Alligator mississippiensis: one gene and its partner. The protein of the gene in region 1 interacts with the protein of each later gene in a pairwise test. Links are inferred from orthologs where the notes say so. Each region holds a gene or a part of one and is shown on either strand. Other genes may lie near its edges. The genes, in order: PRR22 and NELFA.

What was found.
Region 2: the proteins of PRR22 (region 1) and NELFA interact in a two-hybrid assay, tested with the Homo sapiens proteins (2 studies listed by BioGRID). The two-hybrid records come from large-scale screens. The link is inferred for Alligator mississippiensis from reciprocal best matches to the Homo sapiens genes PRR22 and NELFA.

The regions. Positions count from the first base shown.
Region 1 is NC_081839.1:5,972,680-5,989,254, forward strand, and holds PRR22 (proline-rich protein 22), read left to right. Parts: upstream 1-10,645; 5' UTR 10,646-13,142; coding exon 13,143-13,269; intron 13,270-13,505; coding exon 13,506-13,568; intron 13,569-14,140; coding exon 14,141-15,330; 3' UTR 15,331-15,439; downstream 15,440-16,575. Other genes in the region: DUS3L (tRNA-dihydrouridine(47) synthase [NAD(P)(+)]-like), read left to right, coding at 661-849, 972-1,100, 2,773-2,845.
Region 2 is NC_081825.1:18,990,006-19,006,579, forward strand, and holds the start of NELFA (negative elongation factor A), read right to left. Parts: upstream 8,399-16,574; 5' UTR 8,354-8,398; coding exon 8,102-8,353; intron 8,094-8,101; exon of another isoform or gene 8,008-8,093; coding exon of another isoform or gene 7,987-8,007; intron 114-7,986; coding exon 1-113. UniProt on the Homo sapiens protein: Essential component of the NELF complex, a complex that negatively regulates the elongation of transcription by RNA polymerase II.

The DNA of each region.
Region 1 (16,575 bases):
TGTACAATGTGTGCAGGTCCATTTTTTTGAAGAGATGCTGGGACCTCATAGCTGCCTCTTCTGCCTTGGTTCTAGGTAGATCCCTGAATGCAAAGAAAGGGCCAAGAAAAGCTGGCCGGAGGTAGAAGAAGGACAATAATCAGGACTAAATTATTCCCGGATGTGTAACTTCCAGTGGAATCAAGGGGAATTGTTCCTACAAGGATATAATCAAGCCCTAAAAATACAGCCAGGTGAAAACGAGACTAGCAGAATTGTTCTTGTCCTCTTTCGAAGTCTGCACTTTGTAGGAAAGCTGCTTTTACTAGAGTTTTTCTCTGTGATTCTTGTGACTCACTGTTTTGTGGTGACAGTCCTCTTTGTCACAAACATAAAAGCCTGTTTCTGAAGTTACATTTTATAGCAAGATTTGAGTGGGGTTATACCCAGGATGCTCCCAGGTCTACATTAGAACCAAGGTTTTCTTGTGTGTCTTTTATTGGACCAACTTCCATATAACAACAGCGTAGAGAATATTGAAATTTGCCACCTCGAGACAGTTGGTCCAATAAAAGATAACCAACAAAAAAACCACCCTGGTTTCTCTTCATAGCAAACCAACACGTTGTCTTTGGTTACAACCGTTTTCCTGTTTGATCTGAGCGTCTTGTCTTATCACAGAGGGGCTTTGATCAAACCCTGGATTTTCACTGAAATCAAGGAACAAAGACACTGGGACATCTCTTCCAGTGAAAGGTTCGATATTCTCAAAAACTTCACCAATTATGGCCTCGAACACTGGGGCTCAGACACCCAGGGAGTGGAGAAAACCAGGAAGTTCATGCTGGAATGGCTGTCATTCTTGTGCAGGTAATTTGCTTTCTGAGACCTTGGGTAGCAAAGAGCTTTTTTTTTGCTCGGCCTTTGCATCGTCTGTATTTTGAAGACTAATCAAATGTGGCGACATTCATTGCATCTGTTTGCATTGTAAGGTACATTCCAACTGGCTTATTGGAATATCTACCTCAGAAAATCAACGAGCGACCGCCTTACTATATGGGGAGAGACTATCTGGAGACATTAATGGCAAGCCAAAATGTGGATGACTGGGTTAAAATAAGGTAAATGTCTGACATCACTTGCCACAAAGCATGCGTGTGGTCACAGCTGTTGTCTCCCTACAGCTTAATGTTCAAATCCTGGACTCAGCTAAATCTCAGTATCTGCTCGTGCGCGCCTTCAGAACTAGAACCATCTTATTTCAGTGTGGAGGGTTCGGAGAACGTCACATTTTATAGGGTTGATCCTGTTTTTCCAACTCGGTGGCGGAAACATCTGCTTTTCCAGTTTGTAAGCTATGAAGATTATGCAGTCCCTTGCTTCTTGGTTAAACCTGGTAGTGCCATATGATCCTCCCATTGTTGGTATCTGTCCACGGATGCCTTTGTAGATCACATCTGGGTATGTCTATTGAAACCTAAGAGGAACTGGTCTTTCTGATAACACTTGGTAACCAGTTACTGTTTGAGAGGTGGACAAGAGTGGGAAAATATAATGTGATGCCTTGACATCTGAGATTCCACAGTGCTCACGATACATTTGTACAGCAGCAGCCTCCAAAAGCTCCAAGCACGGACTGGGCTCCCACGGTGCCCGGCCCTGTGCAGACCGACCAAAAAAATGGGTCCTGTCCCAAAGAGCTTCCAATCTAATGGACTTGAGGGGCTGCTTGACTTTTCCTCCCTCAACACTACATATTTCCTGAGTTAATGTTATGAAATGCAGGAAACATTTTTCATGGCATCCAAAAAGTCGTCGTTGTTCAGACAATTACTCTGCAGGTATTTAGCCGGCCTCAGCTTAGGTGGAAATTCCAGCTACTACTTCCCATCTCATGGATATAGAGGACGTTAGGAGAAATAAAGCATGACTGCAGCCTTCTCTGATTTTGCTAATCTGTGTCTGCTTTATTGGTAATGAAAACACCTGTCTTGCACCTAAATTTCAGCAATGTTTTCAAAATGGCATTTTCCAAGCAGAGATTATTTGGCTTTAGGATTCAGAAACCTCAGTTCTATGCTTTTCACTGTAGATATAGAACTTTTTAAAGTTTTTTTTTTCACGTTAAAAGAATAAAATATTTAGAGAAGCACCCATCTTTTCCCAGAAGGGCAGTTGTAGAAGTGTGCATTATTTGTTCTCTGCTCCGGTAGCTGCATATTTGTGCAACACATGTAAAATTGCTGGTGTGCCGTTGCTTGTTCTAGTGGGACTCCCTACTTATGTGTCTTGGAATGGAAAAGAGTAATGAAATCACATTGAAAAGACAGTAGCGTCCAGGAATTGTGCATAAAGAAGGCACAAAAATACAATAAGAGCAAATATTCTATCCAACCTTAAATATAATTTGAGTTCTGAAATATGAAATATATTAGGATTGATAGGCCAGATCCTTAGCTTATGGAAGCCACCATTGCCCCACTGACTTCAGTAGAGCTGTATTATTTGACAGCAGTTAGGCATGTGGCCCTTGATAGCTGAGCACGAGCAGCCTGTGGCTCTGCATAAGCAGCAGGATAGGCAGGGGAGGATATTTTTAAGAGCACAAATTGAATTTAGGCTCCTCATTCCCACTGCAGGTCTGTGGGAGTTGAATTACTAGACACCGAGTTAGAAAACTTTGACTGAAGTTCATACTCTGAAGAGGGCACAGCTTGGACTGGAGCGGGTGTTGGCAGGAGGTAGCGTGAGGATCAGGGTATGAATGAATACCAATCTCTTGCTTTGTTGCAGTGAGATGCTCTTGGGACCTGTTCCTACAAACTTCACCTTCCTACCCAAGCACAAGGCGAATTCTTACAGATAGTACTGACCAGGAAATCCTTAAACCAGCAGATCAAGAGAAGACTATAAATGCTCTGGTGAGATGCAGATGACCCTGCCGTGTTTGGGAACCAAATAAAATGTTATGGGTCTTTTTATTTATTTATTTGCAGTTTTGATGTGTTGTCTGTATGTAGCCTTGCAATTGGGGACAGATGCCAGAATACTGGTAGCTTTGGTCCTTGAGCAGCCTATTACCAACATCTCAGTTCTAGCTTATCTAAGATACTTATGCATCTTCTATCACAATAATGTTCCCTATAGCAGCGGTTCTCAACCTTTTTTATATCAGGACCCAATTATAAGCATTGATGGCCAGTCCAGTGCCCCTCACTCCTGACCCAATGCCCCTTGCCCCACAGTGTGTGGGGCAAGGGGTGCCCCAGGCAGCCCCTTGCAGGGTGGAATTCAGCCAGCCTGCAAGGGAAAAGCCACAGTTTCCCACATTTTTCTCCTTGAAAGGAGAATGCATTTTTAATGTTGGTTCATGACCCTTTCATATATTCTTGTGACCCACGGGTTGAGAAACTCTGCCCTATAGTCTTTAATGTATTGATCTCAAAATCCACCTATGAACTTGAGCAATACTATCCCCATTTCATGGGTGAGGATCTGAGGCACAGAGAAACTAAGTGACTTGAACAAGGACACACTGGGGGGTGCATAGCTTAGGAGGGAATAGAACCTGTCACTTTAGTCTTAAGATAATGCCCTAAACTTTAAGTCAGTGATTCTCAACCAGAGATGATGTCATAAGATCCTTTTTAAGGGTGCCATGGGTTGCCATGCAATATTAGGCCTATACTTTATATATAAAGGATGTGCATCAGGAATTGGGAGAACATTTGTTCACCAGGGTGTCCCACAGGAAGACAAAGTCTAACAGTCACAAACTGCTGGAAGACTGTTTTAGACTGGATGTAAGGAAACATTTCTTTACCATCCTAGTCTCCAGAGTCTGGAATAGCCTCCCCCTAGAAGTGGTCCAAGCACCTACTCTGGATACCTTTAAGAAATGGTTGGATGCTTATCTTGCTGGGGTGATCCGACCCCAGCTGACTTCCTGCCCCTTGGGCAGGACTGGACCCGATGATCTTGTGAGGGCCCTTCCTGCCCTAATGTCTATGAGTCTCTCTGACTGCTCCTGTGGAAACATCGGCACATGATTCAGATGATAAACCCAGAGATTACCAATAGGGATCCATAGTATCGACAGCGTTCTGGGCTTTGAGATCTTTGCAACAAAAGAACTGGTCTGTTATTTTTCCATAGTCAAGAAATAAGTAAGAGCTAGAGTTTTCCAAGGGCGTACTTGAGTCTAACTAGGGGTGCCTTGAATCATCTTCAAAAAAAAAAAATTGAGAACCACTGTTGTAGACTCTTTTTTCCTTCCTGCATAGCTCTTTACACTGTCTTTGAAGGCTTCTCCTGACCTTTGCTGAATAATAAAGTACCTTTTGGTTAGGAGCTTTGCTCAGTTCACAACTTGAATTTTCTGGAGCATTTCCATGTGCATCTTGTGTTAGTGCTTGTGTAGCAAGGGCTGACCATTTGCCATAGTCTTTGCCAATAGCACCAATGTATCCCTATTCCAAAAAGCCACCTTCTGCAAGAGGACAAAGATGCAGCAATCCATGGGGCCAATTTTGCAAAGTGTAGACCCCCTGAATCCAAATGAAGCCTGGCAAGCTGCACATTCATAGAATTAGACCCAGTGTTTAAGAGAGTAAGTGTATCTGAAAGCCTGTGGGGTGGCGGGGGGAGAATTAGGTCTCCCAAAATGATTTTGCATTGAAATTAGGTTCTTAAAGGAGTGATGAGGGAATTTAAAATTTTACTGCAAGAGAAAGTAGTTCCAAAAGGGCTGAAGTACTCTGAGATTGGCACGTGGAGTAACAAACCCCCTGTGACCTTCCCAGGCTAATCTCATCAGAGGTTTTCTTCCAGTTTGTCAGACTGTAATATCAGACTCGAGCGAATACACTGCACACATGACACATGTCCAGGCACAACACAACTATCACAAATGCCTCTGGCTGCAACAGGAAAGATGCTGCAGCTGAAATTTTAAACATCTATCAATGTCCGAACAGCAACCAGAAACTAGTTCATTTTCCCCCAGCTGTGTCATCAACCCTGTCTAACACTAATAACAACGAGACAGTAAGAGAAACTCATTCTGGTTCATCAGTTCCCCACACAGAGAAGATCTGCTGTTTAAGGATGTGCTATTTTTACATCCTAACAGAAACTTTACTTTTAAAAAAAGACCATTCTCCTCAGCCCAGAGCTAGGGATGAATAGAAATGGGCCTATTATAATGGCTGTCACATGCAGGATTTAATAACCTTCTCATGCCATGTTGAAGCAAAAGGCAGTTTCTTTCCCAACGCTTGCAAGTAATTTAGGTGCCTAAGTCCTGTTGGCCGTCAAGACTTGTGCATCTACGTGCTTCAGAAAATCCCACTCAAAGGATCAAACGCCACGCAGCAGTTGCACAACAGCAATCGCTCTCCACAGATCACTGCTTACCAGGCGCAAGTCAGAATTCAATGTCTACCTATCTTTTTACCATTGCCTTTCCCCCTTGGTGTGACTTGTATTGGCAAAGCCAGTGTAAAAATGCTCCAAGCATAAGCAAGTGCATGTCATTCACTTCACGCAAGTGTAAATGAGCGCACACGAAAGAACTGGAAGCCAGAGTAGTTACTGTATGTCAGTATTAAATGGTGTTGGGTGTGTATTTGAAGGATGCTGAGCCTCTGCAGTTTCCAGTGGCTTATGCCTGAACTGGGGGACTTAGCGCTTTGTGAAATGAGGTCCTAGATTCATACACAGCAGCGGGCCAAATTAACAGATTGGTCTAAGACAAGCCGCTGCCTATTTGCTTTGCAGCTCATTTCTCCCACCACTGCATGGTACCCATGTCCTGGATTCCCCCACTACTGAATGCCTCGGCTGTCCTCTGCGGGCCAGATACAATCCATCTGCAGGCCTGATCTGACCCATGGGCTGTAGATGGCCGACCCCTGTTGTACAGATTTGTCTAAATAAATTGGTTTACTGTTCTCGGGTTGCCCATAATGGCAAGTGTCCATGTTACTTTTCAGGCAAGGAAATGAAAAGTAAATCCTTGTCTGTGCCGATCGAATTGTAACTGCATTCCCCCTCTCACGAGCACGCTTTGCTTCCAGCATTTCACAGCCACGTTGTAAATCTTGCAGGAGAGTGAATTAAGCAAGAAAAGGTGACGATGCACCATGAAAACTTAATGGAATTGGTCTCAGCTGCTGATCAAGGTGTGAGACTTCATAGAGGGGTTCCCTTTCTCTTTCTTAAATGAGTTCCTTGTGTTCAATAGTAAAGTCAATTCCTTATTTGCCTCCAAGGCAACAATTTCAGTAAAAAAATTGCTAAAACTGCAAATATGTGGGGCTGGTCAGCTACCACAGAACTGCTAAGCAGTGCAGGTGCTTATGTGAAGGAGGAGAGGCCATGAGAGCTTTACACACTCTTGTAATTAAATTTGCAGGTAGATCGGGTATGTCGTACCTCTCATCCGTGCACTTGTAGGGATGCATGTACACCTATGATTAGATGTCTGTTTTACACGAGGAGCTCCTGCTTGGTGTTTAGCCACCTAAGGACATGGAAGGGTACAAAACTATACAAGCCGCTGCTGCTGTAAATCCCACTAAGTCTCTTTCTCCTTCCTTAGGTGCCTAAACACTTGTAAGGAAGGGGCAGGAGAAAGGTGGTGTCTGCTGTGATGACCAGACGTACTCACAGAAACAATCCAGCTCTCCACCCTGCGGCCACATGGGATTAGTCATGACCACATCGCTTACACTGTCCTCTCCAGGATGTCACTTATAGCTGAGGAAGAAAGACCCACAGAAAGGCATTTCCTTTCAGTTAAGAGTCAGCTGGAACCATTACGAAGACCTTGGCCCATTTCCCCCTTCTACCATGGCAGGGGGACAGATCCAGCTCCCTTCTCCCATCCCAGCTCCTGAGCGGCTGCTGCTGCTGCTCTACAAGGCACATCAGAATGACGCGCTGTGTTTTACACCTACTTCATTGCAGTTTAAATGATTGCAATGAGCAGGGAATCGGGCCCAGAGCCTTAGAGCATGTTAAGGCACTTGGTGAATGAGGCCTGGAGGCCTCTCCCGTTCCTATTTCACAGCAGATGGAAATGGGGGGGGCTTGACAGAATTCAAGGGGTTCACAGCTCTTCCTATGCTGGAGTGCACCCAGAACAACCTGGGGAAGGCCCTCAAATCTGTTCCTTCCATTTTGAAAATGCAACCACCGATTTCCCTGCAAACTCAGCTCCGTAACCCCTTTCCTCCAAGCATGCCCTCATCCATTCCCAGCAGTTTGCTTTTGCATTGCACGTGCTTCCGTTTGACACAGGGCTCAGCTGTGTGTCCGTAAGACACTCAGCGGATGAGAAGAGATAAGCCATGTCGGCGCTACCTGCAGGGATGATGCTGAGGAGTAACTTTCCTGCTCTCTGGATGGCATCAGGCCTGCTCCTTCTTCCGTAGCTGTATATTGGTCCCATCTGAAGAGGAGCTGGAGCACTCAGCCGTGCGGTGCTTTGAGATCTCTTTGAGGGTGAGCACAGTGTCTGCACCCCTAAGGGTGCTAACATGATTCACAAGGAAACCCAGAGATTTCAAACAGGAATCCAGAGTGTTAAAAACACTCGGACCCTCTGTGTCTATTATGGATCTGTTATTTTTATGTAGCCGAAGAAACACGTGAAAACTGCCAGCTGGCATTTTCCACGGGGTGTCCCAAGTCTAAATAGGTTGAGAGCTGCTGGACTAGAGGGATGCCCAGGTTTCCTGGAACATCGATACCAGTGTTGTGCAACGTGGCAGGAGTGTAAGGGATGTGCTACGCACTACCAAGAGCGTCCCTGCCTTTTGGGGAGCATCTCACAGAATAGAAGACATTAATGCAGCTACTCACAGGAGAAAAGTGGTTGCCAGACTGTCTTCAGCCACAGCCTCTTTGTCAAGAAAAAGTGGATGTGTTAGCAGCTGAACTCCAGACACTTCTACCAGGGGATCACATGGCTCAGCGGGCTTTTTATCTCAGGCAAATTGATTCAGATGTTTAGCAGATTAGCGGATTAGCAGAGACCGAAGGGCGTTATCACTCGATGGGTTCTGTGGATTGGGTTGATGAATCTCAGGCTGGCTCCCGGCGGGCTGCTGCTTTCACAGCTGTCACTAATTGGCTTCCTTCTGGGGGGGAAAGATGCTTCAAGAGCTCGCTACGTAGTCTTATAAAAAAAAACAAAACCCACCAGAAGCTAAAACATGACTCAGGAGAGTGGAAGAGGAATCAGGATCAATAATATCCAAGCTACGAGGGGCTGAAGGTGGGGGCAGTAAAGCCTAGAAAGAAAGGATGACAAAGAAAATGTAATAGTTAATTGGCAAGAGGCAAGGATTTTTTTTTGGGGGGGGTGGTATCTTTTGCTGGCCCAGTGGCATGGCTGGGATCGATTTAGAGCAGCTTAAACTACCTGCAGATGTCTCCATACTCTGGAGATGCAAGGAGCTGCGCCAGCCGGGGAAGTTATGCAGTGAGACCTCACTTTGCTATATCGAGCGCCACGCCAGCAGCAAGGCTATTTTCCCCGCCGGGGGTATGCACTAACAGACTCAAAAAGAAGAGACTTCTTTTTAGTCTAAAAATAGAGACTTAAAAATAATGCTCAGACCGAAAGAAAAATGCCGTGCATTTGAAAGCTTGTCTAGCTTTATCCCAACCATGCAGTTGGTCCAATGAAAGATCTCACCTCAAACAATCCTTACCTCTCAAAAAATAACAGGCTAATTACAATTGCAATTAAAGAAATGTTTTTGCAAACATCTTGTTGGCCTAATAAAAGATACCTCGACTGCGAGTCCTGATTGAGCTAATTACAGGCTTTTAGACTGCCGTGGCCTAGTTCAGAGGCTCTTCAAGGCATGTTTATGGGTACTTTGCACCAAGAATATGTATGGGGAAGTGGCAGGGTTTAGTGTATAGACCTAGAGAGTACGAGTTATAGTGTTTGGATCCCGCTTCAAACCTGATCCCTAGTTCAGTGAATCTCAGTGCCTAGTATTTCTGTGTCTAATCAGGAATCGCATTTACTCATCAGGAGATCCAAGGGGGGCAGCAGCTCTCGATGCAGCATGTAGCTGGCAAATGGAGTCCATAAAGGTGCATGCAGCAGGTGGCCTGCAGCCCCTCTCCTCCTCGACGTAACACTGCAGCTGGTGCGGAGCGGGTCTTGCAATGGTTTATCCCCGATTTAGCCACAGCATAGACAGATGGAGAAGCAGGCCTACCCGTCGGTCCCAGCATTCAGTGCTGCCAGCATATTTCCAGGTGGAAAGAAGCCCTGTAGTGCAGAAGAGGACCATTTATATTGGGAGCAGCCCCCAGGCTTTGGGCTGGTTCCAGTGCATCTCTTGGCCAGGTACCGTTTACATGCTCTGTCGCGGCGTGACGCAAACCTGTAGCACCGGGGGTCATACATAGATTTATAGATGTTTCATAGATTCATAGATACAGCTGCAGGTTAAAATTATAATTGTCTGACCCAGCTTCCAGGGAAAGTCTAATGTGCTCCATGGGTCAGGGAGGAAGTTTTCTTCCCTTCCTGCATTATCTCCATGTTGTTGAGTGATGGGATCCAGGAACACTACCTGCAGATGTCTCCATCCTCTAGAGATGCAAGGAGCTGAGCAAAGGGGGAAAGTTATGTAGTGAGAACTCACTTTGCAATGGCAAGAGTGCTGCGTCAGCAGCAACGAGACGCCGAAGCAGGAGGCCAGACAAGTGCCATAAGAACAGGAGCGAGAAGGAATGGTTTCCACGTGTTCAGGTGAACAATACAATCCCAAACGTAGGCCTAGAGAAACAGGAACGATGAAGAGAGACTTGGTAGCTGATGCTCGCTAAAATTACGATCACATTGGAGACCATGCTACAGAGGCATGCTGTAGCACAGCAAGCCTGGGTTGGATGCAGGAGAATGGAGCAGAGGGACCAAAACCAGCCTGAATTCTACCATGTATCAAAATCAAACGTCCAGGTGGGCAAGTGGACAGGGTGTATCCAACAAGACTTGCCCCGAGAGCCACTAGCTGCACTGCCTTGCCAACCCTGAGAGGCACCTGTCCATGCCCTCAAGCAATGATCTGATTCCCTGCTGCCCAGCAGTCGCTTGTCCAAATACAGTGCAAGTGTCTGGCAGGACGCAAAATGCAACCGGATCAGAGTGGTTGTGTATCACAGGCATTTCACGTGGATTGGGTGCACATAATCGCACAAGATGCAAGCCAGTGAAGCGGCAGGCTCTGGGCATCCTGTCCTTGATGGATCAAGAATATTGTACAAAGTTTAAAAAGAAAATAATATAGATTGGGGTGACCAACCTCTGCATGGCATGTGGCAGATTGTGGAGAGGACAGACATCTCAGGGCAGGAAGCAGAGCAGTCAATCAGGCGGGGGAACGGGAAGAAATGATATTCTGGGAGACTTCCCTTACAATGGACGGTAGAGGGCACTGGTGCCGTAGTTCAGCTGAACGCAGCAACGAGCAGGATCATTTTATCAGGTATGCAGGTTGTAGCCGTATTGGTCTAGAGGAAAAGGCAGTCAGGACTCGTAGTAGAGATGATATCTTTTATTAGACCAACACGATTTTTGCAAAATTAAAGACTTTTTTTGCAAAAATCGTGTTGGTCTAATAAAAGATATTATTTCTACTACAAGTCCTGATTGCCAGGATCATTTTAGGCTTTCCAGGTTGCTACCAAGCTGCGAAGTGTGGTCATTGGGAACTGTACGGCGAGAGCAGAGTCTAACTGATATCTCCCTCGCTCCCACCCCAGTACTAATATTGCTCTGGGAAAGGGCAGCCCTGGCAGAGAGATGTTATAATTTCAGAGTCATGTTAAGCAGCAGATAGTTTTTATGAGATTATTTTCCACAATTTTCCACAACCTTATTTCATCTGTTCCCACCCACCTGATATTTCATAGGGCATGGGATGTGGATTCTGCAGAAAACATGAATCGGCGTCCAAGCACATGTTAAATCACCATTTTTGCTTTTTTTTAAATTAAAGTGAATCTGATGCCGTTTGCCGAATATTTCAATGCCGTTTAAAACTCGAGTAATAATTTCACAAAAGCGACGCATTAGGAACATCTCATGAAACAGAAAGAAAATCCATCTTTCGGGATTTCAGACTTCATTGCGAGTGTTCGGATCCTATTGCTAATCCCAGCTGTGCCTACGCCTGACTGCCAGGATCCAGCTGTGGACTGGTTTTAGTTTTCATCCTCTTACCTATTTCCAACTTTGGTAAAGGCGGCAAATGGGGATTATAATTCCATCTTTCACTTGCCCTTGATTTGCAAAAAAAGGCATTGATAATATGTCTCATATCCAGCAGATGTATTTGCTGTGTGAGGACACACCACCACCTATCGGACTGAAGTTGGGTTTACATTTGGACACGACGGCAGTGTGGAAGTTCCCATCAGCATTTAGCATCCCTGCACCGAATCTCTGTTCAGACGTATTTGTCGGCGCAGAGAGGAAGTATCCTAGCACGCCAGGTTTGGGCGCTGCTGGGGGGTCCCTTTGCTTGGTGTGCCACCCTCGGGGGGGAAAATGTAACTCATGAAACATGTTGGCCTTGCATCTCTGGATTTGCTGCTAACCTGCTTTCTACTTGGCACGGAAAGAACGGCAGATCATCACTGACGCTCGCCTCCCCCGCTTCATGGCTTTGTCTGATTTCAGTCGCCGGATAGAAGCTTTTTAATTTTGCAAACCTTTTCCTCGCAAGTCAGAGATTTCCTTGCACTTGCCCAAGAGAAACAGCACGCCAGTCATTATTCTTAAACGTAGACTGATGTCACGTGCTGCCCCTTTCTGCACGTGCACAGAGCGATATCCATCATTCCCACTCAGTTTTCTCACTCTTTTTTTTTTTTTTTCCTAACCCATCGTTTCTCTGATCTATTCAAGATGGTTGATTTTACATTTAAGCAGTACTAGCCTCTCTCATTTTGGGTCTTCGACACCCATTACGCTTTGCATCTTGAGTAGCTGAGAGGGGAGGAGAGGGGATCAAAGTGCTATGCTCCCTTCCCATCGCCCTGCCTCAAAAAAGGATACAGCAGAAATAGAGACCGCAGAGATGCCATTAGCTCTTCACCTTGTCTGCTAGCTTGCACTCATGCAGTCTCGAAGTGACAAGTGAATCCCAGGTGACGTGTCCTCCGCCCGGAGGAGCAAATGAGCACCCCCCTACCCCGACCACCCCGACCATCCGGAAGTGGAGTGAAATATTTCTGATTACCTGCTGGTCCTTGGGCCTCCAGAAACGAGACCCCTGCTCCGTGCATCAGAAAGAATACGATGGAGGGCACTTTCCCTCTCCGAAATCCTTCTGCTCCTGGGTATGACCAGAACCCATCAGTCCCTTTGCTACCAGGGGCTCCCAGGGATTTGGATGAGCTTGGATATATAATATGGCTGAGAGAGAGGCTAGACAGATGCTCATGGGGGGCAAACCTGGCAGAGACGCTAGAGGTAGGATATGCCTGATGAACGAGTTGAGGCATTGAAAGATTAAATAAAGAAAAACTCCTTCACAGTCAGGGCGTCCACACTGTGAAATAAGCTCCCTCCAGAGGTGGTCCAGTCACCTACCCTGGAGATCTTCCAAGAGGAGACCGGACGGTCACCTCGCTGGGGTCGCTGGACCCCCAGTTACCTTTCCTGCCTGGTGCAGGGGGCTGGACCCGATGATCTTCCGAGGAGCCTTACAATCTATGAAACAACATATCTGGTTTATGCCATGCAGAATATATGACTCCGTAGTGAAGACGAAGACGACACCAGCCTTGAGCCACCCTATAAGAATCCCATAGATCCCCCCATCGCCCCTTGTTGAAACAGCTCGTGACAAACACTCGTCCCTCTACAACACCATAACCCTCAGACACAGCGATGTCAGGACCAAGCCTTTTTAAGGTCCCTACCATGAAAACTAGCCCTCGCTTTGGAGGTGACCTGTCCCAGCACCTTAAGGAACTTAGAACCTCGGTTGTTACCTGGATTTCTTCCCCCGAGTAACCATCAAAACAGAACGTCCCAGCCGCGGCAACCACGTCTGGAGCCAGTTGCCCTAGACGCAGCCAAAGAGCGGTTGTGCTAGACTGTCATTCGACCTGCCGCAGCGAGGATGCAGCAGCCCAAGCTGTTCTACCAGCACCAGGAGACCTACGGTGCCAGATCTCTCGACCAAGCAGACTGCCAAGCGAACAGGCCACTTCCAGCATTTGTCCTCCCAGAAACCCTGACCTCAGTAGGTAAGAGCATTTAATTCTCCGCTCCGCTGCCTAGCCTGTCCCCCTTTAAAACTTCTCCCCTGGGCACATGTTGTCCCTGGATGTAACCTACTGCTACTTGCTCTCTGGGGCCTTCCTCTTTTTCCCATTTTCTCTAATCCTTTGACGTTTGCATTAATTCACGCTTTCAAATGGTTCCCCGGATAAAGCCTCGGTTGCTCGTGGTGGTGACGTGAACTCCCGTGTTACTGTTTCAGGAACGTCCAACCTGTATCAGACCTCCAGTCAAGACAAAGAAGTTCTCATGTCGCCGCCTGCAGGTATGGGACACGCGGCAGAGGAATTAAGGCCGAACTTGGCGTACGAGTGAAGTTCATAACTCCCTTTGAAGGTCCTGGCTGTGCCAGCGGTGGGTAGTAAAGAGTCAGGCCCAGCAAGTTGGGCTGAACATTATAATGTGCCCTCGGAGGACACCTACTTTCCCTTACGCCCTCTTATTTTATCTCAAACACCGTACCTGGTGTCGAACCTACTCTGATTTTCCAGTCCTATGCCCAACCGAATGCCAAAGTTGGTAATGCAGACCAGAAACACCAGACTTGGACCAGGTTATACCATGGGCTTCTCTACATTATGGGGTCACAGCTGCCATAGCCATGCCAGGAAAACTATGTAGTGTAGACCAGACCTCGGTGTCTAATTTGACTCCGATATGCACCATTGCAGAACTAGATCCTTAGCTGGCATAAATTGATATAACCTCATTGAAGTCAATAGACCAGCACCAATTTACATTAGCATTTGCCCCATGCTTGGGAGGGCTGGGTTCAGTCAAGCTGAATGCTTATGTGGTCTGGATACTTAAAAAGCTGCTTTTATTTCTATTGCCCAGGTTTCCAGATGGCTCCCTGCGGATGTTTCTTCGATCCCCGGATATACCGTATAGAATGGGCAACGACCAATTTTGTGCAGCCATCTGTTTATAAGCTCCCCAGCGGCTCGAATTCGCAGACCCCGTACCTCCTGGATGCTCAGAGATACCTCAAGAGCCCTGTACAGACCGTCCCGTACCCGCATTATCAGCAAATCCCCAGCAACCCCCAATACATCATGCCTTATTTCAATCAAGAGGGCCTCACCAGCGTCACAGAACAAGTTAATTTTGTCCCCAACCCACTTCACGACTCTCAGCTCGTTGAGGTGCCTCATCTCCAGGAAGAAGGCCAAATTCAGAAGAGCGACCACAAACTACCCCAGCTCCTTATCACATTGCCTGGCCTGAACCAGAATGAGACCCCCATCCAAGTCGGCACCCTCAACCACCTGGAGGAAAGGCTAAATCAGACGACCGACCCTGACCCAAGCCACCACCTGGATTTCCAAGTGTTTGATGGTTACCAAGCTGAGGGGAGAGACCTTCAAGAAAATCATGTGATCCAGAACCTCCTAGCAAACCCTCAGACCCCGGACGTGTGCATGGAAGAGCAAAATCCCCTTCCGAGCACCGGTGCTGAAAAGGCACAGGTGGTGCCAGAGGGGACACCCTGTCCTCCGCCGGACAGCATTGCAGCTGAAGAAAGAGAAACGGCGGACGCACAAAAATCCTTCGACCTGCCCGAGAAGGTTTTGCTGGAAGATGCAATGAAACTTTTTGGTTGCTCTCCAGCTAACTCGGACTCTGAGGTCCCCAAGGACAACTTGAGCCGCCCCCCTGAGCCCAGCAAGAGGAAGAGGAAAGACTGCGACTTCCCAAGCGAAGACATGAGCTCACTGAAGCTGCCAGAGGAGCTGCTGTCCTGTGCCTACAGCGTGCCAGAGATTTTAACCACAGTGGCAAGCCTGGATTATTTCTACGACATCAAAACCAACGATGAGGAACCAAAGTGGGAGTTCGGACGGGCGCTACCAGCTCCCCAAAACCGTGCATCGCTCCAGGATGGCCTGCAGGAGCCCCAGAGGAAAAAGAAGCGAAGTAACCCGTCTGCTAAGAAAGGCAAACACAGAGCCAGCAAATGCAAAGCTTCTTCTGCACAGGATTGCTGCATGTCCCAGGGGCAGGACTGCCCCATGCCAGCTGTCTGACTGGCACCTTCCCTCTGACTGTACAGAAGCAATTCTGGGCCGGGGCAGGCCCGCTGATTGCAATGAATGACTTGATCAGAACGGACATTCCTTTTATTCCCCCATTAAAAGCGATCTGTTTGGAAATACTCTGCGTCTGCATTTGAGAGAGAATTGCAAGGGCAAAACTCAGGGTGCAGCACAGGGGAGTGTGGTGTAGAAAGGACCAAGTGGATGCAACAGCCAAGCATGTAGGGGAGTTAAATGCCGAATCCCAAACCAGCTGTTCGCAGGGATTTATAGACGGTGCAGTGGGCCAATGTGTCCCGAGTTATTCATGCTCTCCTACAACAGGCCTGTCTGTCTTCTGGGGGCCACAATTCCTCACCCCAGCTGCATGCCATGTGGCCTCCATCCCACATTGCCCTCTCCGCCTCCCCCTGCCCAATATACAGCATGGGGACCCCTGCCTATGGGCTGCTTGGCCTTGCAGGCTGCACTGTGCCACCCTTTCCCCCTGCCAAGGGTGGGGCAGGCAGCAAAGGTTAAAGGAGGGAGTCTGGAGACTGGCAGGAGCAGCAGGAGAGCATTGGAGGGAGCCTGGAAGGGCCTCAGATTAATCCCTGGGGGCTCAATATGCCCATGGACCGCTAGCTGGACAGCCCTGTCCTAGAATATAGACACACAGCTCATTCAGACCAGTCGCACAAAAGTTGTTCCCGGGCCACGTTACGGGCAGCGAGGTGCAGAAGGTCCCCGGGGAAGTGAACTGGTGCCGTGACAGTAGCCAGGGTACCGGCTTACTGCTGTAGCACTGTACATCCGCCTTACACCGGGGTCAAGGTGCAGGGCCCAGGAGAATCGGCAAGGGGGGACTCCCTCCAGCAAGCCAGGGAGCTGGGCCCGTAACAGGAGTGACAGCGGGGTCCTGGTGGTAGAGCAGCCATCAAGGTTGTGCGGTCCCAGAGCACGCGAGGATCGAGGCTCTCTGCCCAATAGTTTGAACTCTGCCCGCTAGAGGAGACGGCAGGAAAGGTCTAAACCCCACTGCCCCAAGCTGCAGGAGCCAAATTACCATCTGGAGCCTGCGACTTCCCCCCCCCAACAGCTCCTCTGTGCTTCTGCCCACGTCCCCCTCACCCACAGACCCCAGCTTGGGACAAAGCCAGGCTGAAGTTTGACGAGATCGGTCCTGGGCAGGCAACGAGGCCCCAGAGCCGTGATGCTGAGCCAGGCGCCTGCGTGCAGAGCGGGCGGCTGGGAGGA
Region 2 (16,574 bases), on another chromosome or scaffold:
AGGTTAAGGGAGCCAGTATCTGGAAAGGATTTTAAAATATCAGCTACCATTAAGACCCAGGGGTCTGAATCCAAGGTAGCGAGCTGGATAATTTCAGTCAGTGCACCTTTCATCTAACAAAAAAGAAAAAAGAAAATCAACCAATTGGCAACAGTCTTCAGCAAGTTGCTTTGTATTAGGAAATGTATTCAGATACCAGCAAAAACATGCACAGCACATTACTTCCTATGGGAGCCTAATAGGCATTTTTATACCCCAGAATAAATGCATAAAACCCCGAGACTAGACCTAAGCCACTGACAAAGAATTAAAAATGTGTTTCAAGTCTTCCCAAAATTCAAGAATCTTTTCACCAAAAGTTTCAAATGGGAAAAAGTACTGAACACATTCAGCCAAAACTTGACTGCTGATGTTATTTCCAGATGTAAACAGTGCTGGTTCTAGTCCCCTTACGCCCTAGAGCTCACATTTCGGAGTCATAACATATCTGGCAGCTAAGCAATGAGGTTATTCATCTGCAATATGGGAAGCCTCAACTCAAATTCCCCCCACCCCCCCTTTTTTTTTTTTTTTTGCCAGATTCAATTTGGGCTAAGGTCCCCTTTTCACCCTAGGACACGCCTAGATTAAAGTGGGGCACACCCCACCTCCAGCATGTGGATAGTACTCAAGCCCTTTTAATTTTTTCATTAAACTGAAATATTCAGGTTGTAATCAATCCAAATTTATTATAACTCGAGGTGACCAAAAATGTATTTTGGCCAATAAACGATTTGCCAAAAAACGCCCACTGCTTGGCTTCCTGTAAACTATGTTACAAGATTTTTGCCACAAAGTTAAGAATAAAAGCTATTTTGAAAACTTATTTGTGGGGAGGGGAGAAGCTTGGAAAAGAAGAGAGAATTCATAACACTGTAGTGGGAAAGTTATTACACTATGCTTTTGGTTGCTAATCAAAACATGTATTATCATACTGGAAGATGCAACAATATTAGCCAATACCAATAAGCTGTTACATCTGTATGATTCTGAAGTGCAGTGGTTTCCAATCTTTTTTTTATACTATGGACCGGCAAACTCACTCAAAGAATGTTGGCAGACCGGGTATAGAAACAATTTAATTTACATATTTAAATTTAATTTATGTGGCAGGGGGGAGGGGAGGTTGCGAGGTACATCAGGAACATCATCAGTAAAGGAGATGACAATAACTAAAATTCATACATACACATTGCCAGCTGGCTAACATTACCTAGCTAGCTGCTGAGGATACAAGGAGGAGACAAGCCAGACATTAGTAGCTACGGCAGTCTCTCTGATACAGAAGTGACTAGCCACAGTTACCGCAGTCCAATTTCAAAAGCTAAAGTCACACTGGCCAAGTGACGATATTCTTGCCCAGCCAATCAGCATGATGTGGGCGTGGCCTGGGCATACAACTGTTGCTAGCAGTGGTTAAAGCTCGTGCCACGACCTGGCAGCCAACCCTTTGGGCCATGGCCTGGTGGTTGGGAATCTCTGCTGTAATGGCACAAGGAAAGCAAAACTGTTTCAACTTTAACCCTGCTTCATTCAAGGTCAAATTTCACACAATTTAGCTCACTTACAACTCAATGTCCACTCAATTTGCAATTCTGCAGAAACTGCTAAATCAACTTAAAACATTTAATAAAGTGCTAGCTCCCCAATGGGAGCCAGTAAACCTTGCTGCTGCTGTGGCAGCCCAGTCTGGGGGCTGGGGTGGCGCCAGCTGGTGAGGCAACACAAAGGGCAGCAGACAAGATGGGGCTGCCCCCCCCCCCCCCGTCCCTCCACCGGGGTCTCTCCACCAAATGGTGTCAAGGGGCAGGGCCACATGAAGGGCAGCCAGCAGGCAAGATGGTGCACCCCCTGCCAGGCCTCTCTGCCAACCAACCAGCACTGAGGGGCAGGGTCGTCAGAGCACATTCAGGAAACATCTCCAGAATGTGCTATTTATGCCATGACCAGCCTGTGAAAATTTAGTTCCCATGATTTAGGTAGACCCCTACTTATAACACAATGGCTCGGGAAGATAGAATAGTTACAGAGCAATAGCCAACGTGCACACTAGAGGACAAAGCTTCCCCTCCCCTTTAAAACAGCTGAAACATATGCTTCCCATATTCTTAGCCAGTAGCAACAGACCCAACCTAAACAACATCCACATTACTGACACTTCACACAATGATTTTTTTTTAATTTAACATTTTAGTTCTTCATTTATAGATAGCTCAGGCTATGAAGTACAAGCTGAAAGTTGGACTTTTTAAGTTTTTTTTTGGTTTTGTTTTGTTGTAAGATTTGTTTAAAGGTTAAAAATTAACCTGCCTCAATCTATCCAACCTTTAACAGAACGGAGATGTGGCTTCAGGTAGTTGTGCATACCAGGCCATAAGACAAACAGAACAAAAACTAGCTGATAACTATTAAGTCACTGGCAACATACAATATTAACATTAGAGATTTTATGCATGGAAATGCAGACCTAATATGGAGACTTGGCCTTTTCCATCTCCAATTGCGTTTAACACTGTAAATTGTACAATATGTATTGCAATGTTTGCAGGTATTCAAACATGGCAAGTTATCAAAGACAGATTTTCAGCCTTCAATCTGCATTTCCTTCCCTTTATTGATTTAGAACGGGACCCCTCTTATGCAAACATTTCACTTGCTTCATGCTGATGTGTTTCTTTGCTCTCTTTAGACTATTAACTTGACTTTCTGTTCTCCATTCCTCTCTGAAAACACCTTCAGACCTCAAAAATAAAGTCAATTGCTGATGGTCCTTTTGATTTTGCTGCTTCTTACACAGTGCCTCCCTTCTACCACAAACCTGTTTCATTCCCCAATTTAATTACTATTAATACTATGGACAGAATCTGTTTCCGGGAATTTATAGCCCTTAAACCTCCACTATACCTCCTATTCTTTCCCAGCATGGCTAAAACTCATACTTCGCAATGAAACACAAGTAGACTAAAGGGTAAGAAGGAAAAATGGCATTTTCCCTACAAATCCATCAGAAGTGATTTCCACTACAGCTAACAAAAGAATGAAGTGGGAGCAGAAAGAAAGGATAAAATACTTGAGGATGCCAGTCTACATTTTCACCTCCCACCCCCCACACGAATTCTAAAACTTTAAAATGGGGACTTTCAGGGCCTGTAAATGTAACAACTGTATAGTCAACAAACCTTTCTGCAGGTTTAAGTAATATGGTAAAAAGGCCCCCAAAAACCTGATAAACACATCTACTTTCTGCTAGGTTTAACATTAGTCCAACTGAACTAGTGATTTTTGTTTGGCAAGTTTCTAACACTTCCCCACATTCTGTCTGTTCTTCTTAAGCTGTTTCCTACATTCCCTCACAGCCTGTGTCAAAGTCTAGCCTTTTCTTGTTTTGATCAGGAAGAACCTGATCCCAGGTTGAGCTTACAGGGCCAGCAGGTAAAAAAAAAGTTAACTTTTATTTGCAAACTGAGCACACTGTTGTGATGAGTGTCCTCATTTTTAAGTAGCGTTGGAGTGATGTTGTAGCTGTGATGGTCCAGGAAGTGAGAGGCAAGGATTTTTTGTGGGCAATATATTTTACTGGACCAGCAACATAGCTGTAATAAACTTAGACAAACTTTCAAAAGTAATGCATTCATATCACTCACAAAAATCCATGCCATTTTTACTTTCCAGAGAACCACAAACTAATGTAATTAAGAGTATTGAAGATGTTAAGGTCAGGCCCAACAAATTTTGTCAGTTCTCCTTGCACACCTCATCTGAAATGCAAGTGTTTAGCAAAAACAGCTTTAAAAAGGTATGAAATTGGTATACAGAAAAACAAGGTGCCAACAGTAATTTGCACAGGCAGCCAAATGTTTCTCCAGAAAAGTCTGCTAACAAATCAAATGTATACCTCTCCTATTTCAGTTTTGGATGTAAAACAATACTGTAAAGCTTTAATTTAAACAAAATGAGAAAAATGAAACTAATTTTCACTTGTATTAAACCACAATGAACACTATGAGTAAACAAACATTTGGGGTTAAAGAAAAGAAGAGGAGAAAAAAGAAGAAGTAAGAATGTTTTGGAAGAAGCCCTTTTGGAGCTCTTGCTCTAGAGCGCTGTGGACTAAACATTATAAAGTGGATTCACAACTAGTTATGAAACCTGACATGTTGTAATGGCTCTGTGTCAGTACAAAAGAAACTGATGCAGCATTTTCATTTAACCAAAAAATGTAGTAAGTAATAAGTATGCCAGTATTATATGTAAATGATACAAAGACAGAAAGCATCAACTACACGTGTGTGCACGCGCTATAAATTAGCAGTGCACCGATAAAGCCTTTTTTGGTTGATACTGATGGCTGATACTGATCTGATTGCCGATATGCAGCCCGGCAGCTTGGAGAGCAGCTTCCGGCTGGTAAGTATGTGGGACGGGAGGGGCATGGGGAGGGGAGCAGATGGAGGTCCCTATGGTGAGGGAGGGAATGGGGCTGGTGCAGGGGCAAGCGCTGCCCAGCCAGGGCAGGGCACAAGATAGACCTGCAAATGGCTTGTCTGGGGGGACATGGTGGAGGGGGAGATCCCTGTGCTAAACGCACCCTGGAGGAGACATAGGGGGCATGTGTCCCCCAGATTTGTGCATGGGGTGAGGGTGGGCTGCCTGCTGTGGCCTCTTCGGGGGGGGGGGGGGGGGTTGCCCTAAGGCTGCGCTCAGGATGGGTGGGGGCAGTTTACAGAGTGGGCTACAGCCATCCTAAAATTTGCCATAGCCACCCTGTAGCCCACCTCCCAGCGCTGCTTCTTGCCTCACTCTCCCCAAGTACAGCCCCAACCCAGCCCCCCTGCTGGCAACAGGCTAGCACAGCCCCTGACCCTGAGTGCACAACCCATCCTTGTCCTGCACAGATTTCTGGGGGTCACAGCTCAAGGGAGGTAAGAGACACAACATGAGTACAATGTGCTTGTGCTCCCTTGTACCTTGTACATGTGCTGATTCCAACTTTGAAGAGTGCATAAGGTGAAGGGTCTCCCCACTCAAGTAGACTAGCAAGAGGGGGCACTGCACTGACTACCTTCTACCACGGGGGCATCAAACTCATCTTGCCCCATGGCCTGGATAAGAAGTATGGGACTGAGCTGCAGACCAGACTGGGCCCACAAGCAGCCCTATGCACCAGAGGCAGCGCACAGAGCATACCCCACACTAGGCTTGCATGCCAAGTGCAGCAGTGTCAGCCCCAGCCTGGGACTTAAACTTGAAGCTGGCACAGGGAACATGTTGCATGCAGCACCTGCACCAGCCAGGCTGAGTGCTGGCTTTGGTGCATGAGGGTGGTCTGTGGGCCAGTTTGGACTGATCCCAGAGTCAGAACATGGAGCAGGTCCAGCAGGGAGCCGTATGCAGCATATACCCCAATCAGCCCCCTGTGCCACATGCAGTGTGTGCCTGGTCCAGCCCCACATGCTGCATAGAGCAAGTTAGCCTTGATCCAGGGCTCACACAATGCACACAGTACATTGGGCGAGCATGAGGCAAACACTGTGTGGCACTCACACCAAACCAGCCCCAGAGTCAGTGTCAGTTTGGGTGCCCAGTTCAGCTTGTGCATTGCATGCAGCATACAGAGCTAGGGCCACTATGCGTTGCATGAGGGGTCAGCCCGAGACCCATGGGCCAGATCCTAGGTCTCCACAGGGTGGATTTTTGATGCCCCTTCTCTACATCAATGACTCTCAACCTTGATAGAATCAAGGCACCCCTCAGAAAAATGCTAAACTCATAGTTTTCACTCATTTTTTGAGTGCAGAAAAATGATAAAGCAATTCTTCTGTTGCAAAAAGCTCAGACCACAACAGATCAGGATGTTTTGTCACTATAGATTCCTATTTGATATCTCTGGGATTATCTTGAGAATCATGTGTAGGTCTTTGTGCAGCACCCTTAAAAGTATCTTGCAGCACCCCAGGGGACCATGAAACCCCAATTGTGCAGCAGAGCTACGATGGATAGGACCATCTCCCTCACAGGACATTCCAGGGATAGCAACACACACATTGCTCTTACTCTGGCAGGATCAAAAACAAACAAAAAAAAGATAATCACAGGATAGTTCTACCCGAGTATGTGCAATGCTGGCACAAAAATTCACATGCCATAGGTTAACAGGAGTACAATGTGCAAAGTAAATAAATGTCATTATTCTGACCAAAAAAAAACAAACAAAACACCAACCAGAAACTCAAGTCAACACTGCACTGAGCTTTAGGCATCATTTGAAAAAAATGTGCTTAGCTTAAAAGACATTAGGAGAAAAAGGAAGAAGTTTAAAGAAACAGAATCCATGAAAAAGCATTCAAACGCTTCCATGTTTACCCCAAAGAAGTACTCCATGAGTATAGATTTGACAACTGTCTACAAATACAAAACCAGGGACCAATTATTCTTACTAGTCAGTGATGACAAGCAAGCAGTAATGGGGTTTACGATAGGGTAAAGAAAACACTGCTTGATTATCTATTCCTGCCTTAAGATGATATTAATTCATTAGTACTGGTAAAAAAGTAGAGCTCCTGAACGAAAGGTACTATGGTAGCTACAAAATATAAAATATCAGGGAGAAGAAAAAAGAAGCACAATACTTAAGCAAAGGACCAAGCTACCAAAAGGAGACTGTAGAGATATCCTTGTCTGGACTTGCCTAACCTTCCCTGGGAGAAAAAAAAAAAAAGTGGACCAATGATCCACTAAAAAACCTTTTTAAAACCAAAGGGCATCAGACAGTCTAATAATCCACGTGTTTCACTGTAGTTAGACGATCAGTCCAAGAGGTATTCCACCGTTACAAAGCGCACGTAATCCATCACTCATTTAAAAAGTGAGAGATTCTCTGTCACATGATACTTGTTACAGAGTTTATGATGTTTGTTACAGATATTTTCTCTGTGAAGTGACAGAGCCCCTTGGGACTGCCTTACTCTTCCGTTAAAGAAGTGTAAATGCAACCTGACACGCAGAGGGCACACACAATTTAAAGACTCACTATGTACACCACCCGCGGTGCACCAATTACACGTACAATGCACAGTTTAGATGCACAAAGCTGATGCAATGTGGGTCCTAATCTCATAATATTCAGGTGCCAATGCTGTGCTCCTGTAACCTTACCAGTACACACGTGTATACAAGGAGTCAGAGGAAGTAGATGTACAGTGCTCCAAAAGTACAGAGACAAAGTCAAATTTGAGGCTAACTTGTTCACAGAGAGAAAATTGAATGGAGAGAAACTTGAAGTTGTCACCAGACAACTTATACAATTAAAATCAACGTGAATATAGATGGCTTTTCACTTTCCTGGAGTCATCACTCTCCTGTATTAAAATACATCAAGACTGACAGCCCGCTCAGCGAGACATAACGCACACAACATAAATAACGGTCCGCTCCCAAACACTAAAGAAAAAAAGTTGTTGTTTTTTTTTTAAATGAAAAATTAAACACGGCTTGTTTTAAAAAGCAGCACATGACGAGCACCACCCGAAACCTGGCAGCAGCAGGATGGGTGTAAAGCAGTAAAGCAGCCTGCTGGGGGGACCGGCCCCTTCTCCCTCCACTCGCCGCTGACCCGTGCTGCTTCATCAGTCAGGCAAGGGGGGGGGGGGGGGGTGTCCCTCCCCCAAAACGGTTTGAATGCACACAAAACCAACCGCAGAAATAAACTGCCTGCCCAGACCAGTTTCCCCTCTGTAAAACCCAAATAATAAAAATAAAAAACCGCAATAAAAAAAACCAAACCTTTCATTTCCACCCAGGAGAACTCTGACCGTCTCCCCCCCCCTCCCCCACCCGGTGCCTGACGAAGGGGGTTCGTGCCCCAAAAGCTTCCCATTAAAAATGTATTATTATTATTATAATTTTTTGCCAAAAACAATCTCGTGGGTCTAATAAAAGAAACTGCACCTCTCCCACGAGTCCCGACATTGCCGTGTTACTACGGAGAAACGCAGGGGCAGTTTGTGTCCGGGACGAGTCTGCCTGAAGCGGGGGGAGGCCCGAGGCCGGGCCCCGGGCTCACCTCGTCCACGGCGCGGCGGGGCAGGTGCAGCATCCCCAGCAGCAGCTTGAGCTTGACGGGCGACGAGAGGCCGTGGAAGCAGAGGCGGATGTTGTCGATGACCGAGGCCGTGAGCAGCGAGGCGATGCTGGGCGGCGCCCACAGCTCGTCCGTGGAGCCCAGCTTGTTGTGCAGCCACAGGCCGGTGTCGCTCTCCCGCATCGACGCCATCTTGGGAGCGGGCCGAAAAAAGAGGGGGTTCTGCACGGGCATTTTATGAAGACACCTCAGCGGAGGCAAGAAGGGGCGGAGGGGGCGAGGACCCGCGCTTTTCGTCACCCAAAATGGCGGCGCCCAAGCGCCGACGGGAGGGAGGGATGTGGGAGGGGGTGGGGCCTGTCCGTAATCTAAAATGGCGGCGCCCAAGCGGGAGGGATACAAAATGGCGCCGGGCGTTGCCGTACAGCAATATGGCAGCGCCCTGCTAAGGGAAGCAAGCCGGGAGGCTGTGAAGCGGCTACATGACGAGAGTATCATGTGACAGTATCGGGACAGCCCCCACGGGCTTGTCCTCCCGCACGTGGCGGGAGGCGGGTGATGAAACCGGCGTGTAACGCGGCCGCTGCGGCCTTGTCATGCTCTCTGGGGGGAAGGGGCACTGCGTGCGTGGGTGTGCGCAGCGCCGGCCTTGTCATCCTCTCTGGGGGCGGTGGGGAAGGGGCACAGCGTGCGTGGGTCCGCGGGGCTCCTTGCTTTCCACGCAGGAAGAGCGCGCGCACCAACTGCGGATGCTACCTCAGCCTGACCGCGGGGGTTTCAACCCGAAAGCTTGCAAAGAGGAATTTTAATAATAATAATAATAATAATAATAAAAGATTAGACCCCCAAAAACGTGTCCGCCTGTGTGTTTTGGTTACAACCTCCGCCCCCGAGATGCTCCTCGTAGCACGCAGGGGCGCAGCGTGGCGCGGCGCGGGTCCGGGCGGCCTGTACGGCAGCTGCTGAACCCGAACGAAGGCAGCCGGCCCTGCCGGGCGGGTTGGGAGCAGAGCGACCGGCCTCGCGCGCCCGGGCAAACACATGGTGCCATGTGAAGTCCCGACGCACGCTCTCCCTGCGCGCCTGCCCGGCCCATGCGAGCTCGTTGCTATTTAAATTCGGCCCGTTGGGCTGGGCGGCCAGTCCCCAGCGAACGGGGCGCGGAGTAAACGAGTTGTCTGCTCGTAGTCTTGGAAATTGGGGGAATTACCTCCTTTCCGTTCTGGGAGCCCGAAAGCTTGCAGAAAAAAAATGTATATATATATTTGTTGCAATTTCTCATTTGGTCCGATAACAGGGCTCATCTCTGAACCAAGAGCTCTAGGTTTTTGCACTTCTTTTTGTCTCGGACCAAGACAGCAACCAAATACATTGCTTACCTCCTTTCCGGGCTTTTGAGAAGACCCTGCGATTTATAATGATCTAGCTAAAGAGGAGTTTACTTCCTACCTGGCTTCTCTGTGGGGGATGAGCTGGGTGGCACAGGGGAGCTTTACACGCTAATCCTTCTGGCCTCTCTGCTGCTGCAATGTTGCTCCTGATTTGTGCAACTTGTTTGTTTCTAATTAGTGTCCAACATGCACAGTGTTTTGCAGCCCCTAAAAAACCTCAGTTCATGGAGTGCTAGTTTGTTCCCTGTCTATAAAGTGCTCTGGCACTGGCGACGCGTAGGGGCGGCACACGGGTGCACACGCGCCCCCTGAGATTGGCCACCACCAATGTCGCTGGCGGTGCCTGCGGGCAGTCGCTGCTCGCCACCCTCCGCCCTCCTTGCTGCCAGCGGCGTCGGGGGTGGAAAGATGCTCTAAGAATGGATGATTAACACAAGGACAAGTGTTTTTTTCATCCCAGCCAATCATTTCAGAAATGGCTGCAAGTAACAGATGTATTTTACTAGTGCTATAAATGCATATGCAGTATATATAAAGAATTATGACCCATTCTTATACATACGTGTATATACATATACTTGTATTTGTATATAGGAATGGGTCATGATTCTTTTATATATATAAATCTTAAACTGCAGTGTCTGCACTGCATGTGCATTTATACCACTCTGTATATCTGGGTATATATATGGGTATAATGGGTCATGATTCTTTAGGCCTTAGGGGTGCTGCGTAGTCAGAGTTTAAGTTATTCTCTAGTAAATGGCTTATTGTGGCCCTGGGCAAACCACTTCACCTCTGTGCTTCATGTTATCCAGGTGGAATTTAGGACTGGGGATAATATTTATCCGTACACAGATTTGGAATTTGCTTGTATAAAACAAAGTTAGATATAGGCAACAGGTACCTTGGAACCAAGCAGAAGTGATCAAAATGGAAATCTAGCTTTTATTAATTTTAAACAAACTAGAGGTTAGAGGTGCAATTCTGGGTTCCACACTTCAAGAGGGATACGGATAACCTGGAGAGGGTCCAGAGAAGGGCCACGCATATGGTCAAGGGCCTGTAGACCAAGCCCTATGAGGAGAGACTAGAGAAACTGGACCTTTTCAGCCTCCGCAAGAGAAGGTTGAGAGGCGACCTTGTGGCTGCCTATAAGTTCATCACGGGGGCACAGAAAGGAATTGGTGAGTATTTATTCACCAAGGCGCCCCCGGGGGTTACAAGAAACAATGGCCACAAGCTAGCAGAGAGCAGATTTAGACTGGACATTAGGAAGAACTTCTTCACAGTTCGAGTGGCCAAGGTCTGGAACGGGCTCCCAAGGGAGGTGGTGCTCTCCCCTACCCTGGGGGTCTTCAAGAGGAGGTTAGATGAGTATCTAGCTGGGGTCATCTAGACCCAGCACTCTTTCCTGCTTATGCAGCGGGTCGGACTCAATGATATATTGAGGTCCCTTCCGACCCTAACATCTATGAATGTATAAGGCAGCACCAGTTGCCCATGGTTACAGGAATGATACCCGAGACTTCATTTTGGGGAGAAACCAGTAATAAACCTCAAATGTGGTCCCAATTCATGGGTTGCCATCTTGATTTGCCAAACAGCTCAAGTTATTATGGACAATCGAGTACTCAGTCCACAAGCAACAGATATTACTCTGCACGGCACCACGTTGGTACACAAGCAGCAGGCATATTACTGGGTCCTTACTGATATCCTACAACTGCAGGTAAAGGCAGCAGTGTCTGATCCAACACTGTGGTCCAAAGCAGCTGAATATGAAGTGTTTTATGTATCACAGACACACAAAGAACCCTATGATTAGGGTTGAGCAGGTAAGCATTAAGAAGTTAAAACATGCTAAAATTAAGGACATTTATGCAACATTAACCTGGCTGTCTTGTGTTCATATATAACTTCTGATGCTTGACTTTGCCTCCTCAATAGACATCTTAGATTTGAACAGCTGCATTCCCCCATGATCCCATCCGTTAAAGCTTTCAGAAGTTTAAAACTTCACGTGATCTGGGGAAGATTTTCACTGAGAAAGGCACAATGCTGATTACAAGGCTGTTCTCTCTGCTAAAGGTTAGGTCCAGGCTGCACAGAATTGGAGTGTGTGGGGATTATGAAATATACTGTAATTATGCAATAGGTGATGGAATATTTTATTATTCGTAAATCTTCCAGGTATCCATGATTTGAGAAACAGACAAGCAGACACATGCACACACAGGGGGTTGAAAAGCTACTGTTGGCAGGATAAAGTTTGAGGAACCACAGATAAATGAACAGGTGGTGAATGATGGCAAGGAGATTGGTAAGCCAAGGAGTAAACCTGAAGGTCTTGAATGAAGCCCATTAGTAGTACACAAAGTAAGAAAGAAAGTTTTGTGTATTCGGAGTAACAAGATAGATTTGTGTGAAAGTTTGAGGCTAGATCAGGGGGATAACATGGGGTGAGAGAAATGGATTCTTGCTAGTGTGAACTGATCTGTTGGAGCCAGGCAGCCTGGGACAGGGTAGAGTCTCTCTCACTAGCTCAGCTGTAGGTATTCTGATCAAATGTTTGTACCCATAATTACTGTGTGGGTGCAGTTATTTAATAAGCATTGTAACACTGCTAGTGGTGCTTGGTATTTTGTTACAGTATTTTAGGATGTTTGTTTAATGTAACTAAAAAACAGCTGTTGGTCTTTGGATTTACTTAAGGCATTTTAGCAGGATTGTTGATACAGGCATTTGATTCCAGCAGCGCTACACCTTTTCCAAGGGGGTATGCTCCAGTCTGGGCCTGAGTGGGACCCTGCCTGCTATTGCTACTTTGGGGTGCAGTAGGCCATCCCATGTTTTGTGTCCTGGAACTGAACTGAGAGCAGAGGCAGCTTCTTTGCTCTCAGAGATAATCTTCTGGGCCCAAGCAGTTCATGGAAGAAAGGTGTCAGAATCAAATTTAGTCAGGGCAAAACAACTGTTTTTTTCCCTACATCTTTCCTAAAAATGGCTTTGATCTCCACCCCCAAAACAAAACAATACAAAACACCAAAAACCCAAAATGAAAGCTGGTAGGGTTACTGTATGCCCGGGGTTTCCCAGACATGTCCTCTTTTTTGGTCCCCTGTCCTCATGTCTGGGCAGGTTTTTAAAATGCAAGCAAATGTCTGGGTTTTTGATCTGCCTCTGCTTTTTCTGGCTGGTTGCTTGGGGCTGGGAGCAGTAGGCAAGGTGATTGGCTGTTGGGGATCATGTGCTCTGCACAGCTGGGCTGGGGGGGAAGGGTGCTGCAGGTTGGGAGCGAGGGGCACCAGCAGGGCTGGGGGGCAGAGGCTGTGGGTCCAGAGAGCGGGGCACTGGCAGGGCTGGATGGCAGGGGCTGCAGGTGGGAGTGAAGGGCACTGGCAGTGCTGGGGGGCAGGGGGTTGTGGGGTGGGAGTGGGGCACTGTGGGTTGGGAGTGAGAGGCACTGGCAGGGCTGGGGGTCAGAGGCTTAGGAGTGAGGGGCAGAGGCAGGACACGGACATATCACTGCCCCCCACCCTCCGTCATATGCCACGTCCCCTCTCCTCTCCTCTCCTCTCCTCTCCACCTCCCCTCACTATCTCGGCCGGGCTGAACCGACTCGAGGTGATTCAGAAATTACTCATTTGTCAGGGTGGGCTGGTGAATGGAGAGGCTGACAAGGCTTAATGGTTGCAAAAAACTTTACTTACGTCGCAGGTGGCTGCGACGGAAATGGTTCGGTCGTTTGGACAACAATGTGAGTTGCTCCAGCTGGCGAGGCCAATGCCAGTAAATTTGTCCATAACTCAAGCCAGCGGGAAAAGGGTACGTCTGGGATTGCGTTCGGCGACAGGAAGAAGGGTCGATAGGTGATCAGTCTATCGATCAGCTAGCTGCAAGTCAGATCTCTAAGAGGCACTCTGCAGCGTGCTCAAAGCTCTTTGACTTGGGCGGAAGTCGTGCTAGTTTTTAAACGGCCAGCAAGCCAATTACCGGCCGCCACGTGTGAATAATTTAGCACTAGCCAATTGCGGGGCACAAATTTACATCTGAATGGCGGGAACTCTTTGCACTGTGCATTTCTGTGCTGAAAAGAGAATGCATCCTGCAAAGACAGCTGCAAAGTGGCGGGAACTCTCTCCTGCACGCGGATTCTTTATGCAGTAAAAACCCTCGCTGTGCAAGAGGCTCTCATGTGTCAAGAAAATTTCATAGTGCCGAGGCACCAAACTCACTGGGTTATGACACTCACAAGTGTCCTTTTTTTGATACTGGAAATATGGTAACCCTGGGAGGTAGATCGCTGGAATTAAAAAATTCAGCCCAAATACCTGGGGAAGTTGTGGAATCTCCTTGATTGGTAGTTTTTAAGAAAAGAAATGTATCTAAGATGGCTGAGGAGTAGCGCATTCTTCCTCTGTTATGAAATACACCATCTTCCTGCTCTATGATTCTATGATGAAAGTTTGGCAAGTTTACTGAAAACAAGGCTTCTTAATGGAAAGTCTCAAGCAACCCTATTATGTAGGCAACCTTATCATTAAACCTGGCTCCCAGCACCAGGGACTTAGTATAGAAACAATATCTTCATGGTCCATTATAATCTTCCTGATACTAACTAACTCCAGGTAATAATGACTCTACTTAACAAGGTTTTGTTCCATCTGCTATTTAGTGCATCCCTGTCTGCATTTGTCTCCGAAGCCTGACAAAGGGTACTGTGATACTGGAAAGCTTGCTATACCAACTACAGTGCTGGTCCAATAAAAGATACCGTGAACAAGAATTCTTGCCTTTCTCAAATCACAGTGTTTCAAAATCATACATACGTGACTTTTTTGTTTGCCTACACTTTGTACAAGAAAAGATACAAAAGAATAAACAAGGGGCATGTTAATTAACACACTAATTTATGCTGGGGTTACCCTGACCGAGGACAATTGATGTCAGTTTTGCAAAGTTACTAGTAACTTGCCAAACAGCTCAGTGAAACCCGTTGCAACATTTTCTTCCAACAGAATGAGATGATGCAAACACAAGTAATAATGAAGTCAAAGGATATAAACCCAAGTAAGGTTGATGTCAAAATGAAGGATTCTCTCTTATAGTTTCATAGTTGTTAGGGTCAGAAGGGACCTGAGCAGATCATCAAGTCAGACCCCCTGCCATGGCAGGAATGAGTGCTGGGATCAAATGACCCCGGCGAGGTGATTATCTAGCCTCCTTTTGAAGACCCCCAGGGTAGGAGCAAGCACCAATTCCCTTGGAAGTTGGTTCCAGATCCTAGCCACCCTAGCTGTGAAGTAGTTCTTCCTGATGTCCAGGCTGAACCTACTCTTAGTCAACTTGTGGCTGTTATTCCTAGTTACTCTGGGTAGTGCTCAGGGGAACAGGGACTCTCCCTTTACCCTCTGGTTCCCCCTGGTAAGTTTATAAATGGCCACCAGATCCCCTCTCAGCCTTCTCTTGTGGAGGCTGAACAGGTTCAGGTCCCGTAGCCTCTCCTTGTAGGGCCTGCCCTGCTGCCCCCTGACCATGCGAGTGGCCCTCCTCTGGACCCTCTCCATGCTGTCCACATCCCTCCTGAAGTGCGGTGCCCAGAACTGGACGCAGTACTCCAACTGCGGCCTGACCAGTGTTACATAGAGGGGGAGGATCACCTCCTTGGCCCTGCTTGAGGTGCATCTGTGGATGCATGACAAGGTGCTGTTGGCCTTCTTGACCGCGTCCCCACACTGTCGGCCCATGTTCATCTTGGAATCAATAATGACTCCAAGATCCTTTTCTGCCTCTGTACTGACGAGAAGGGAGTTCCCCACCTGTAGGTATGCTGCTGGTTCTTTCTCCCTAGGTGCAGTACCTTGCACGTGTCAGTATTGAATCCCATCCTATTTTCATCTGCCCACCCCTGTAACCTGTCCAGATCTAGTTGTAGCCTGTCCTTCCCTTCTAGCGTGCCCACTTCTCCCCACATCTTAGTGTGATCTGTGAATTTGAACACTGTGCTTTTCACCCCCTTGTCCAAGTCACTGATGAAGACGTTGAACAGTGCAGGCCCAAGGACCGAGCACTGGGGGACCCCACTGCCCACATCCCTCCAGGTCGAATAAGACCCGTCCACCAGCACTCTCTGGGTGCCGCCCTCCAGCCAGTTAGTGACCCATCTGACTGTGTAGGCATCAACACCACAGTCGCCTAATTTTTTAATGAGAATGAGGTGAGAGACAGTGTCAAAGGCCTTCCTAAAGTCCACCGTGACAGCTGCGTCCAAGGATTTTGTGACCTGGTCATAGAAAGCCACCAGGTTGGTCTGACAGGACCTGCCCCTGATGAACCCACGTTCATAGATTCATAGATGTTAGGGTCGGAAGGGACCTCAATAGATCATCGAGTCCGACCCGCTGCATAAGCAGGAAAGAGTGCTAGGTCTAGATGACCCCAGCTAGATGCTCATCTAACCTCCTCTTGAAGACCCCCAGGGTAGGGGAGAGCACCACCTCCCTTGGGAGCCCGTTCCAGACCTTGGCCACTCGAACTGTGAAGAAGTTCTTCCTAATGTCCAGTCTAAATCTGCTCTCTGCTAGCTTGTGGCCATTATTTCTTGTAACCCCTGGGGGCGCCTTGGTGAATAAATACTCACCAATTCCCTTCTGTGCCCCCGTGATGAACGTATAGGCAGCCACAAGGTCGCCTCTCAACCTTCTCTTGCGGAGGCTGAAAAGGTCCAGTTTCTCTAGTCTCTCCTTGTAGGGCTTGGTCTGCAGGCCCTTGACCATACGAGTTGCCCTTCTCTGGACCCTCTCCAGGTTATCCACATCCCTCTTGAAGTGTGGCGCCCAGAATTGCACACAGTACTCCGACTGCGGTCTGACCAGCGCCCGATAGAGGGGAAGTATCACCTCCTTGGACCTATTCGTCATGCATCTGCTGATGCACGATAAAGTGCCATTGGCTTTTTTGATGGCTTCGTCACACTGCCGGCTCATGTTCATCTTGGAGTCCACTAGGAGTCCAAGATCCCTTTTCACCTCTGTGCCACCCAGCAGGTCATTCCCTAGGTT